Linked DNA regions of Saccharomyces cerevisiae S288C. Changing the gene in region 1 together with any one later gene gives a genetic interaction. Each region holds a gene or a part of one and is shown in the gene's direction. Other genes may lie near its edges.

Evidence for each region.
Region 2: mutations in YMR321C (region 1) and PHM6 together harm fitness more than expected from each alone (negative genetic interaction), as found in Saccharomyces cerevisiae (one large-scale study listed by BioGRID).
Region 3: mutations in YMR321C (region 1) and ERP6 together harm fitness more than expected from each alone (negative genetic interaction), as found in Saccharomyces cerevisiae (one large-scale study listed by BioGRID).
Region 4: mutations in YMR321C (region 1) and TPO1 together harm fitness more than expected from each alone (negative genetic interaction), as found in Saccharomyces cerevisiae (one large-scale study listed by BioGRID).

What each region holds. Positions count from the first base shown.
Region 1 is NC_001145.3:917,058-919,796, reverse strand, and holds YMR321C (uncharacterized protein), read left to right. Parts: upstream 1-1,900; coding exon 1,901-2,218; downstream 2,219-2,739. Other genes in the region: SNO4 (glutathione-independent methylglyoxalase family protein), read left to right, coding at 718-1,431.
Region 2 is NC_001136.10:1,021,497-1,024,005, reverse strand, and holds PHM6 (Phm6p), read left to right. Parts: upstream 1-1,684; coding exon 1,685-1,999; downstream 2,000-2,509. Other genes in the region: MRX10 (Mrx10p), read left to right, coding at 1-495; exosome non-catalytic core subunit RRP45, read right to left, coding at 2,342-2,509.
Region 3 is NC_001139.9:492,702-495,780, forward strand, and holds ERP6 (Erp6p), read left to right. Parts: upstream 1-1,815; coding exon 1,816-2,466; downstream 2,467-3,079. Other genes in the region: CDH1 (Cdh1p), read right to left, coding at 1-1,473; ERG26 (sterol-4-alpha-carboxylate 3-dehydrogenase (decarboxylating)), read right to left, coding at 2,752-3,079.
Region 4 is NC_001144.5:82,888-87,074, forward strand, and holds TPO1 (polyamine transporter TPO1), read left to right. Parts: upstream 1-1,916; coding exon 1,917-3,677; downstream 3,678-4,187. Other genes in the region: FRA1 (aminopeptidase P), read left to right, coding at 1-823.

The sequences.
Region 1 (2,739 bases):
TTTGTGACCTCTCCCCTTATCCAGTTCATCGAAACTTTTTTTTCAACTTGTGGATCTGTGACATTGTCTACAAGAGCCGATTTTGATGTCTGAACAAAAAACAACCTTACCTTTCCAGATGCAACTTTCCAGGAGAGCTGCGTGAGTTTCAAATATTTAACATGTCGGAGAAAGCTCCCAAGTACTTCCTTGTTCTTGTCATTTTTTCCTTATCTCCATCCTTTAAGGAAGCTATTTCCATTATGCGATTCTATAAATCCGAGCATGCGAGTATTTCTTTTCTTGGCGCGGAGTCGCTGATGACGCAATAGGCACATTCATGAACATCCAGGACTGGTAATCTTCTCGTCTTAAAAAAAATCCAACCACCAGTAAAGAAACTCTTGGGTAAAATGCAGTATCTGAAATATTGCATAGCTGCAAATGAAGATATTCAGTATCAGCATAGGTATTTTCATGAAGGATAGGTAAAAAGAAAGAAAAGAAAAATATCTTTTTGACTGTCATTCTTGCAATTATCACAATTAGGGGACTTTAAAACCGATACTTGATATATGAGCACAGTCAAGGGGCCGGTTCTTGAGATTTTAATGGAAAACAAGAAAGTTGCACATACAGGTCTGCTTTTCTTTGCTTGCTCCAGACAACGATACTTAGAACTAAAACATATTTCTAGAACACTTTTCTCCTTCATTCAAAAAGAAAACTGGCCTTGCAATGACTCCAAAAAGAGCGCTAATATCTCTTACTTCATACCACGGTCCCTTCTATAAAGATGGTGCGAAAACAGGCGTTTTTGTAGTTGAGATTTTGCGGTCGTTCGATACTTTCGAAAAGCATGGTTTCGAAGTGGACTTCGTTTCTGAGACTGGTGGATTTGGCTGGGATGAACATTACTTGCCAAAGAGCTTTATTGGTGGCGAAGATAAGATGAACTTTGAAACGAAAAATTCCGCCTTCAATAAGGCGTTAGCGAGGATCAAGACCGCAAATGAAGTCAACGCCAGCGACTATAAAATATTCTTTGCATCTGCTGGACATGGTGCTCTATTTGACTATCCCAAAGCTAAAAATCTGCAAGATATTGCATCCAAGATATATGCCAATGGGGGTGTGATCGCCGCCATCTGTCATGGACCGCTCCTTTTCGATGGATTAATAGATATCAAAACAACAAGACCATTAATCGAAGGCAAAGCTATAACAGGTTTCCCACTCGAGGGTGAAATCGCCCTGGGAGTTGACGACATCTTGAGGAGCAGAAAATTGACAACGGTTGAACGCGTTGCAAACAAGAATAGAGCCAAGTACTTGGCGCCAATTCATCCCTGGGATGACTACTCTATTACCGATGGAAAGCTAGTTACGGGTGTTAACGCAAATTCTTCCTATTCGACCACAATTAGAGCTATAAACGCATTATATAGCTGAAACAAAAGACAAGGGAATTGTTGAAGGGGAGGCTTCTAATGGCCTTCAGTTTCTGTGAAGAGAAGGCTAACAGCTCAATGGTTCGAAAGGTAAAGAAAACGGCAGATCGGTAGCACTCGATTTTGCTAGAATGGAAATCATATAGAGAACAATTGAATAGTAGGCCTTGGTTTTTAGTGTTGTACTCATCATGGTCATATGTGACATAGGTAATGTACATATATATAAAAAAAAAAAAAAAAAAAGCAATGCTGTGAGATCATTCGTTACTTACGAAATACGCAGATTGCAATTTGAAATAAGCTGTGTTTCCTTTTTTCTTTTTTTTTTTTGGCTTGTTATATACAACTTTTTTCTATTTCTGTTCTTTTAGGAGTAATTAATTGGTACATGGGAAATAAATATGAATTATATTAAATGAAGTAAAAGTAAAAGAAAACGGGGAAATTTATCGTTTCGTAGTAAATAGATGATGGACTTGGGCGACAAAATAAATCCTAACCTCTCGTTCTTAGGAATCAACTGCGTCAGCTTCAACCAATCACCCGACATTCTTGAGTCTCTACATCAAGCACTGCCAAATATGGCCTTGCTTGCTTATCCAAACAGTGGTGAAGTTTATGATACTGAAAAGAAGATATGGTTGCCAAATAGCGATAAGCTGAACAGTTGGGATACGGTTGTTAAACAGTACATTAGCAGCGGTGCCCGTATCATTGGTGGTTGTTGCAGAACAAGTCCAAAAGACATCCAAGAGATTTCTGCAGCCGTCAAGAAATACACGTAAATGCCTTTTTAAAGAAACTGGAAAATTCTTAACATTATACATATGCTAGGAAGCAGCATGTTACACTAAATACATTTTATAAACAGCACAAGAAGTATTGTTAATTAATTATCCTTGCCATGTTTTTTTAGAGTCACAAATGCTTTTCCGTACTTCGCCGACAAAAAACAGAGTAAACATCATATGTTTTATAATCTAAAGGAATCAACTAACAGTTCATCAGATGGGAATTTGGGAGAGTGCACAAGTAAGATGGGGTAAAAGAAGATAAATCTCCACCGGATCTAAACCTTTGCCAATAATCCTCACATGGTGGAGCTACAATCTCGCCTTCTCCGACCAGTCACGATTAATTAAATTGCCTAAAATTAACTTTTATATTCCCATACAGTCGATATTGCTAGCTCAAAAGGCGTTATATTCGAAAGTTGTATCCAAATATTCCATCTAATGTATTATTGGCAAAAGGATTCCGTGATCTGTGTTCCCAAGAACAATCATAACCTTGAAAAATTATTCGC
Region 2 (2,509 bases), on another chromosome or scaffold:
GCATTCTCAAGTGGGCTATCGAGAAGCACCAACTTGGCAGTCCTAGAAGAAGCAATGGAAAAACATATATCAAAGACCAGAACAATAACAGAAAATATTTCTAAGGGAACAAAGTTAAATCTAAGGTCAAGTGATGCATTAAAGTCAATAGGCCGCCTTTTTCTAATTAGAGGAAAGTTGAACCTCTATTCAGAACTAATTGAGACCCCTGATCTTTATTGGAGTGAACCTCAATTGGAAGAGATTTTTAAAAATGTTTCGAGGTATTTGGACATAGGCCCAAGAATAAATATTCTGAACAGCAAGCTGGACTATTCTACGGACGAGTGTCGAGCCCTCATCTCTCTTTTAAACGAGAGAAACAGCACTTTTTTGGAATGGATAATTATATACCTGATTGCTTTCGAACTGTGCTTTGAAATTTATCATTTCTACCAGAAATATTCTTCCTACTGCTCAGAACCCACGAATGATGATCTAGATGCTACAAAGTAAGAGATTTTTTTGTAAATAAGAGTTACTTTTGTATGTTGTATTACGGGCTCGAGTAATACCGGAGTGTCTTGACAATCCTGATATAAACAGTCTTAGGGAAGTAACCAGTTGTCAAAACGGTTTATCAGATTAATTCACGGAATGTTACTTATCTTATGTATTATATAAAATATGAATCATACTAAGTGGTGGAAGCGCGGAATCTCGGATCTAAACTGATTGTTCAAGCATTTATACGTTTGGGTAGTTCAGCTAGGGAAGGCCGTGTTTTATCTCATGTTGTTCGTTTTGTTATAAGGTTGTTTCATATGTGTTTTATGAACGTTTAGGATGACGTATTGTCATACTGACATATCTCATTTTGAGATACAACATTGTATATACACAGAACAATGAGAAAAAGTTCCACTCAGTAATTAATATTCTTTTACCCAACGTTTCCTTATAACGTTGTTATTGAAAAAGGGATATTATATGAATCCACGCACCTGATCTGGCTCTTAGAAGCGACTAAATAACTACATATGTAAGAGATCTGCTCCTGCCACAAGAGAAAGCGTTTTTTAGCGATAAAATCAAGATTTCTCATTTCCTAATTGCTTATGACGGACGACCTTCATTATTAGAACGTGCAAATGTGCATTAGCGTGTAATGATACATACGCAAATTACAATAAAAAATAAACATGTAAATAAATGAGCCCACTTAAAATAATATGACATATATTAGTTTGCACTGTCATGAAAACCCTGATAACGTGGTGTCATTTTTATTACACCCGTATATTCATCAGCCCGTCCTAACCTATCCGAACGACGCAGGATGGCCACTAACATCGCAAATAGTGTTATTACTTTTTCCATTTGGATGTTCTGCCCTATAATGTTACGCAGTTCCGAGCTTCGCTGACACGTGGGAGGTGGGATATAATATTTGCACGGGTTCTTTTTTGTGTCGTCTGGCGGAAAAAAATAGACTCGTCTCTTGTATGGCGCGCTAGTAATTTATTATTTGCGATGCGCAGAACCTTATCTTTTGTTTTCTATTCAGTATAAAACTTGAACGATTTCACCAGATGTTTGTACACTTTGATTCATTGCAGCCCAAATAGAATTTTTGTCAACTGCCATACCAAACTTGTTGAACTAAAAAAAAACGACAGCAATTGTTTTTCAACCTGACACCAAGATGGAAGATACCTCGAGGTGCATCGATGATGTACTGAAAATAGGACAACAGGAGAAGGAAATAAGACAGGCAGAGTTTTCTGACGCACAAGGGGAGAGAGAGGAGGTTAAGTGTATTGATTACACAGTAGATTTGGAAGCAGGTCTTCCGCGCCACGAGAGTAGTGGAAAAAGTAATACCCTCAAACAGTGTTATAACGCCGTTCTAGGGTTTCTCGAGGAACTCATCATCGTCATTATTATTGTGTTGCTGTTGTACAGTTTGACAATGGTAGGTCTTTTTTATGTGATGACGATGACGAAGTTTTTGTTTTAATAATAAGAATAATGGGATTTGTTTTCTTTCAAGATTTTTCTTTTGGATAGTACATGCCTTCAGAAATTAAGCAGGGAGGCAAAAGATAATATTTTCTCATATGCATTTATAGCCGAGCCTTTTTTCTTCGCAGTATGCGTTTGTTTTATAGTAATTTAATGATTTTTATGTTTTTGAACACCGCAGTCAAGAAAACAGTAGGAAAAAAACTGCGGGCGTCTTTCATACTGCCTTTAGTAGTAAGTGTAATTTTACAATCTATACGTACCGATATATATACATATATTAATGCATGCATGTATATGTATAAGCGTTGCTTTTATTTCAGTTTTTTCGTTAATATTAGATCTCGCGGGCATTTTCAGATGTAAGCATGGCTGCATACTTGTTTCTCTTTTCTGAATCCTCCTTTAAAAGCTGCAGTATTTGATCAGTTATTTTCTCAATAATGCTGTAAGCCTCGTGACAACATTTCATTAGCGTCAACGCATCCATTGGTAAACCACCCGC
Region 3 (3,079 bases), on another chromosome or scaffold:
ACCATGTGATGTCACAAGCTCGTTAGTATTCTTTGACCATACCATATTACATATTTGAGAGCCGCTATCTATATCACTCATCTTTATTGACGTATTAACGTTCCAGATTTTTAGTCTTCTATCTGCTGTACCACCACCGGTAGCTAGCACACCTCGTTTATGAGGAGACCAGGCCATTGCCTTAACAGCAGCCTTATGTTCGTCAAACGTCAAGATTGGAGATTTCGACGTTCCTTCGTAAACATGGACGACGTTATCGTTACCACCTGAGGCAAGTTTGTTGTCCGCTACATTCCACTTTAGGCCACAGACTTCCTGAGTGTGCGATTCTATAGTTTCAAAAAAGGGATCTGGCATCCTAACATCCCTATGCAGTATTCGATGATCTCTACTCCCAGACGTCAAAACATGATTATTCCAAGATAAACACGCTACTCTGTCAATATGTCCCGACAACGTCCTAATACATTTTCTTTTCATTACGTCATAAATTTCTACAAGTCCATTTGCTTGACCTACTGCCAGATGAGAGCCTGCTCCAATCCAGCTTAAGCTTGTGTATTCGTTTTCCGTGTCGCATAAGTGAACAACGTCGCCAGTGTTATTATCGGTTAAAAAAATCGATTTTCCAAGAGCAACTGCCAAAACATCAGTACTTGACCAATCTATCAAGCTGTAGTAAAAATCGTCTGCTAATGATGGGGCATCTAAAACTCTATAGGGAACTTTAGCTATTTGTCTAAATTGCTTCCCCGGTGATAATAGGAGCTGTTTGGAATCCGGCCTAACTGGCGACATGGAATCAAAAAATTGAGATTGTAACAAAGAGGCCGCAGATAGTCTTCTACCTTTACGTTGTTGATAAGTCAACAGGCTGGCGCCCCTAACTGAGTTGCTTGAGGGTCTCGTGATTTCATCTTGCTGTGATGTAAAAAGACGTCGAGGAGTGACTGGCGTGGAATGTGGCGAAAATTCCTCTAAACCAGCAGCTTCAGGAGGTGGAGTTGATACTCGTTCCAGTTCATAACCATGTCTAGTTGTATTTTCTGCGTGCACATTGCCTCTAGTAGATGGTCTCGTATTCTTAATGCGATCTATACTGCTCTCTGAGCCTACCGTATCCTTGCTTAGCATCTCGCCAAAAAGCTCATTCTTCAGCAAAGTATTATAAGTTTCATGTGCCTGTCTTTCCTTTTGGTATTCTACTTGATCTTCCGTACTCGATGGATTAAGGGCTGGAACGCTTGCCATACTACTGATGGAAACGATGGAATTGAAATCTATATCTGTTCGGGAAGGAATATACCTATCACCATATACTGTAGACGGCCTCGATCGCCTGGAGGGAGATGATAATAGTGAGGCGGACGAAGAACTAGATATTGGCCTTTTCGATACCCTCTTACTTTCAGAACCCTTGAGTGGGGAGGAGGAAGGCGTATTATTCATGAATGGGTTCAGGTTTGTGGACATGCAACTAAATTTAGGATGAAGACTAGAAGGAAGGGTGACAAAAATCGGAGTTAGAGGATGAACCAAGTTTGAGATGGCCAAGTCTAAGGTATTGTAAATCCATGAGGTTCTTCTTCATCGCAATATTAATGCTAGAAGCGGTGCAAAAAACCATTTTGTGTGGGATAAAAAAACGTCGTGGAATTAGAAACTCGTTCTTCGGGTAAGAAACCAATATCGACACAACAAGATATGGGGTGTATAGTTAAAATCTCTACTGATAGACTTTATTGGTGAGGTTGTGAACAGATTGTTGGCGCTTTCTTCCTTATCGCCTCAATCTGAAAGGATCTAGATTTGCCAATGTTATCACACTACATCTTCCTGGCATTCGTTTTATTGCCATTCAGAGTTTCCGCGTTTTACTTCTATGGTTATGGTGGAGACAGAAAATGCTTCCTGAAGGAACTATCCAAAGACACCCTTTTAAAAGGTTCTTACAATTTGGAAGTTTACGATGATAAGTTGGCAGATTATGCGCTTCCCAGTTATAATGACTATGGCATTGTCATAGATGTGGAAGAAGTCTTTGATAATAATCATAGGGTAGTCCACCAACAGGGCTCTCCTTCCGGTGACTTCAGCTTTCTAGCTTTGGAATCTGGAGAATATAAGATCTGTTTACAGTCTAGGGTAAATAACTGGGTAGGGAAAACCAAAACAAAGTTAGAAATCGAATTTGAAGTCGGTTTTGAAGCAATGTTGGACATGCAAAGAAAAGAAACCTTGGAAAGTTTGCACGGAAAAGTCAGTATATTGAATTCTAAGATCGTGGATATCAGGAGAGAGCAACAACTGATGAGAGAACGTGAAGAATCCTTTAGAGACATATCAGAGTCTGTGAATTCTCGCGCAATGTGGTGGACGGTAACTCAAGTTACTCTTCTCATTATAATTTGTGTATGGCAAATGAAAAGTTTACGCTCGTTTTTTGTTAAGCAGAAAGTATTATGACCGTACATATCAAAAAATTGAATCCTTAGCAGGCATACATGAGAATTTCGTTGTTTCAATGATTTATTTCTATTTATTTACATGCATTACCCCGACGCTTCATAGTGTAGTCATTAAATGAGTGTATACATATATATACTAACCTAGTCATCAAGATGTTTTAGGTGTTTCAATTCTTATTATTCATCTATAAAGACAGAATAAATATATACGGTGCGTATCAGATATGCTATTTCAACATACTATCTTTCGATAATCGGATCAAAAAGCTCCTAACGATTGCCATTACAAACCTTCGTCCATCCAGGCCAACGTTTTGTTAATTCCTTCTTCAATACCAACTCTTGGTGTGTAGCCTAGCAACTTTTTGGCCTTAGCAATGTTGTGATAACGGTATGCACACACAATCTTGACTCTGAATGGAGTCAAACCTGGCTCTTTACCCAGCATCTTGGATACCCATTCTGAAAGATAACCTGCACAAATTGCAACTGGCCTTTTCAAAACAATAACATGTTTATCAATATGACCATCTGCCTTCCACACAGTACGGGCCAAGGCCCAAAAATAGGTGGGGGTATCATTGGTAATGAAAAAAGTTTCACCCGAGACA
Region 4 (4,187 bases), on another chromosome or scaffold:
GCAGTATTTTGCATGGCTGGAGCAGCAATTAGTGGGGCGCGAGGCACTGATAGATGAATATCGTGCCGCAGAAAAATTGACCGAGATTAGGAAAACCCAAAGGAACTTCATGGGCAATTCCTTCGAAACAATATCCTCCACAGGTAGTAACGCCGCCATCATACATTATTCGCCGCCCGTAGAGAACTCTTCGATGATTGATCCTACCAAGATATATCTTTGCGACTCCGGTTCGCAATTCTTGGAGGGTACAACTGATATAACAAGAACAATTCACTTAACAAAGCCAACCAAAGAAGAAATGGATAATTACACACTGGTACTTAAAGGTGGCTTAGCCCTAGAGAGGTTGATTTTTCCCGAAAACACTCCCGGGTTTAATATCGACGCCATCGCTAGGCAGTTTTTATGGTCCCGCGGGTTAGATTACAAACATGGCACAGGCCATGGTATCGGATCATTTTTAAACGTTCACGAAGGACCCATGGGTGTCGGCTTTAGGCCACATCTGATGAATTTCCCCTTAAGAGCGGGTAACATAATAAGTAACGAACCAGGTTATTATAAGGATGGTGAGTATGGTATCAGGATTGAAAGCGACATGTTAATCAAGAAGGCCACTGAGAAGGGTAACTTCTTGAAATTCGAAAACATGACTGTGGTTCCCTATTGCAGGAAGTTGATCAATACTAAGTTACTAAACGAAGAAGAAAAAACACAGATTAACGAGTACCACGCAAGGGTATGGAGGACAATAGTGCATTTTCTGCAGCCTCAGAGTATTTCATACAAGTGGCTGAAAAGAGAAACAAGCCCACTATGACTTCGAGGCGAGCGGGGCGCAATACAATTAATGTTAGTATTTATTCTAAGTAGTTTCTTTCTTTTTATTTAATTTGAGTGATAACAATAACAACAATAATGACTAAAAGGTGAAAATTGAAAACATTACCTTCATTTTTTTACGGCCGGAGAGGGGTAGGTACACTTAACCCCGAGCGCTTTTAGTGCCAAAAAGAGTTAATGTGCGTAGTCGGATTTTAAACGACCATGCATGTACAGCCCCCTAGTGATTTATACTGATGCCTCATCAAGAAATTTTTTCATCCAGGGTCCCTGCTCGGCGAACCTTTCCGCAAGAGTCACAAAAATCAATCTTATAACCAGGCACCAGTAGTACTGCCAAGCTTGGACTACATAGCCAACGTAAAGACAAGGAGTCTGATTTAGTATTTCTTTTTTGCCAGCCAGTATTTTCTGCGCAGGATAGATTATTTTAAGAGCCGAGAATTCCTTATGCGGGCCCGGTCACAACGGATTATAGGTTCCGCCAGACCCCGTTGCTTTGGTTCCATGGAGCAGGAGCAGGATTTTCCGTGGAAAGAGAAGCACCGAGCGAAAAGCGGATACGGAAGGCGGATGCGGAAACGGATGCGGACGCGGAAGGAAGGAAGGAAGCAAACCCTTCCGTCTATGTCGCTATGAAGCCGTCTCACAGTAGAGCCATTCGAGATTTCCGTCCGTCGGTACACAGAAATCTTCGTATCGGGAGTTTTACTTTAAAAGGAAACGATCGTAGGAATTCCCTAAAGAAAAAGGAAGAAAAATTTAACGTTGAACATTGTCATTTTCTTTTTTTTTTTTATGTGTGCAGAATATACTATCAAGTAATGTGTTCTATATATAAAGGGTACCTCATTTGATCTTGATGTTTCTTTCTGCTCGTATGCCTTGAGTCACCAGTTTTCAAAAATAATCTTGGTCTATAGAAGAGAAAAATCCAATAATCTGAAATTGGTTCTTCGCACCCTTGCAACGAGATCATATACTAAATATCGGGAACTCTTTATTTCTGGATCTTTTATCAGTCACTTTTTTTTTTAGTCAAAGAAGCAAGAGAAAACTAGACAGAGACAATGTCGGATCATTCTCCCATTTCTAATAAGGAAAATCATCTGCTGCCATCAGACTCGTCAAGAAGCTCATCCAGCGATATGCATTCGACGGGCACCACGGGAACCACAGGCGTCGAACCTGTAGATTTCACCGGTGAAGGTGCCAAATACACAACTGCTACGGAGGGCAATGGTGGTGCAGATTTAGCGATTCAAAGAACGACGACTATGAATTCTGCTGCAGAATCAGAGGTTAATATCACGAGAAGATTAACTAAAATCCTTACTGGGTCTGTTAACGAGCCTGACCGTGTAGAGGTTGATTATACCAATTGTGCGCCCATGGGTGGTGACAGACCTTACCCTCCATCGTTGCCGAGCAGAGACCTGTACGAGGTTACTTTTGATGGTCCTAACGACCCACTACATCCATTTAACTGGCCCATGAAGAAGAAAGTGCTGCTATGTCTGGTCTTATGTCTGGATTCTATTGCCATTGCTATGTGTTCTTCCATTTTTGCCTCTGCAGTGCCGCAAATCTGCGAGATATACCACGTCATCGAAGTTGTCGCCATTTTGGGTATCACGCTTTTTGTTCTTGGGTTTGCGGCCTCACCGGTTATCTATGCTCCTCTTTCTGAATTGTACGGTAGAAAGGGTGTTCTGGTTTTATCTGCGTTTGGATTTGCCCTTTTCCAATTTGCTGTCGCTACTGCTGAGAACCTGCAAACTATTTTCATATGTAGATTCTTTGGTGGTTTTATCGGGGCAGCACCCATGGCCGTCGTCCCCGCCGCGTTTGCCGACATGTTTGATACTAATGTTAGAGGTAAAGCCATTGCGCTATTTTCTCTAGGTGTTTTTGTAGGCCCCATTTTATCGCCTGTCATGGGTTCTTATATCGCACAAAGAACTACCTGGAGATGGTTAGAATATGTTGTCGGTTGTTTCGCTTCCGCAGTTTTCGTTGCCATCGTATTGTTCTTTGAAGAAACACATCACCCTACCATTTTGGTTAACAAGGCCAAACAGATGAGAAAGCAAAGTAATAACTGGGGTATTCATGCTGCTCATGAAGACGTGGAGCTATCCATCAAAGACATTGTCCAAAAAACTGTGACGAGGCCTATCATTATGCTTTTCGTGGAACCATTGCTACTATTCGTGACTATTTACAACTCTTTTGTCTACGGTATCTTGTATTTGTTACTGGAAGCCTACCCACTTGTCTTTGTGGAGGGTTATGGGTTTACTGAAAACGGTGAGTTGCCATACATCGCCTTGATTATCGGTATGATGGTGTGTGCTGCTTTCATTTGGTATATGGACAACGATTATTTGAAAAGATGTAGAGCCAAGGGGAAATTAGTGCCCGAGGCCAGATTGTACGCAATGGTCATTGCAGGTACCGTTTTCCCTATTGGTATCTTATGGTTCTGTTGGACGGGCTACTATCCTCACAAGATTCATTGGATGGTCCCCACAGTAGGAGGGGCCTTCATCGGGTTCGGTTTAATGGGTATTTTCTTGCCATGTTTAAACTATATCATTGAATCGTATCTATTGTTGGCAGCTTCTGCCGTCGCAGCAAACACTTTCATGAGGTCTGCATTTGGTGCATGCTTCCCATTGTTTGCAGGATATATGTTCCGTGGCATGGGTATCGGTTGGGCTGGTTTGTTATTAGGTCTATTTGCCGCTGCGATGATTCCCGTGCCTTTACTATTCTTAAAATATGGTGAATCTATCAGAAAGAAATCCAAGTATGCTTACGCCGCTTAAGAAAAAGAAAAGCAGAAATCATGCTCTTTCTATATTTGCATTTTTTTATTTCATTGTTATTACTCACCCTGCCCCACGCTCAAAGGGCTCGATAACGACATAGCATTATAGACACTGTGCAGCGTAAAGCTGACATATAAAGAAATTACAAAAAAAAATTAAAAAAAAAAAAAAAAACAATCAAAAAAGACACACAACTACAGAACAAAGGAAATCTTTTTCTATGCACAAGCACAAGAGTACTTAGAGAGTAGTGATATCCCCTTTTTTTTCTACTATTTTTTTTTTTCCCATTTTTTTCCTCCAAGACTCCTCTTATGTGGTTGTTATGTATAGCCCATAGTTACTAAATAAAACACTAATTAATGATTAATAATCCCTCTCTAATAAGAAATAGATAAAAGCTATTGTTCTTCTCATCGCCGGTTCTCGGCGTTGTCCGTACCCTTGGCCGAAACTCGGGCGGGGGCTTATTAGTCATACCCTCAGATTTCATTGGTCAGATAACAG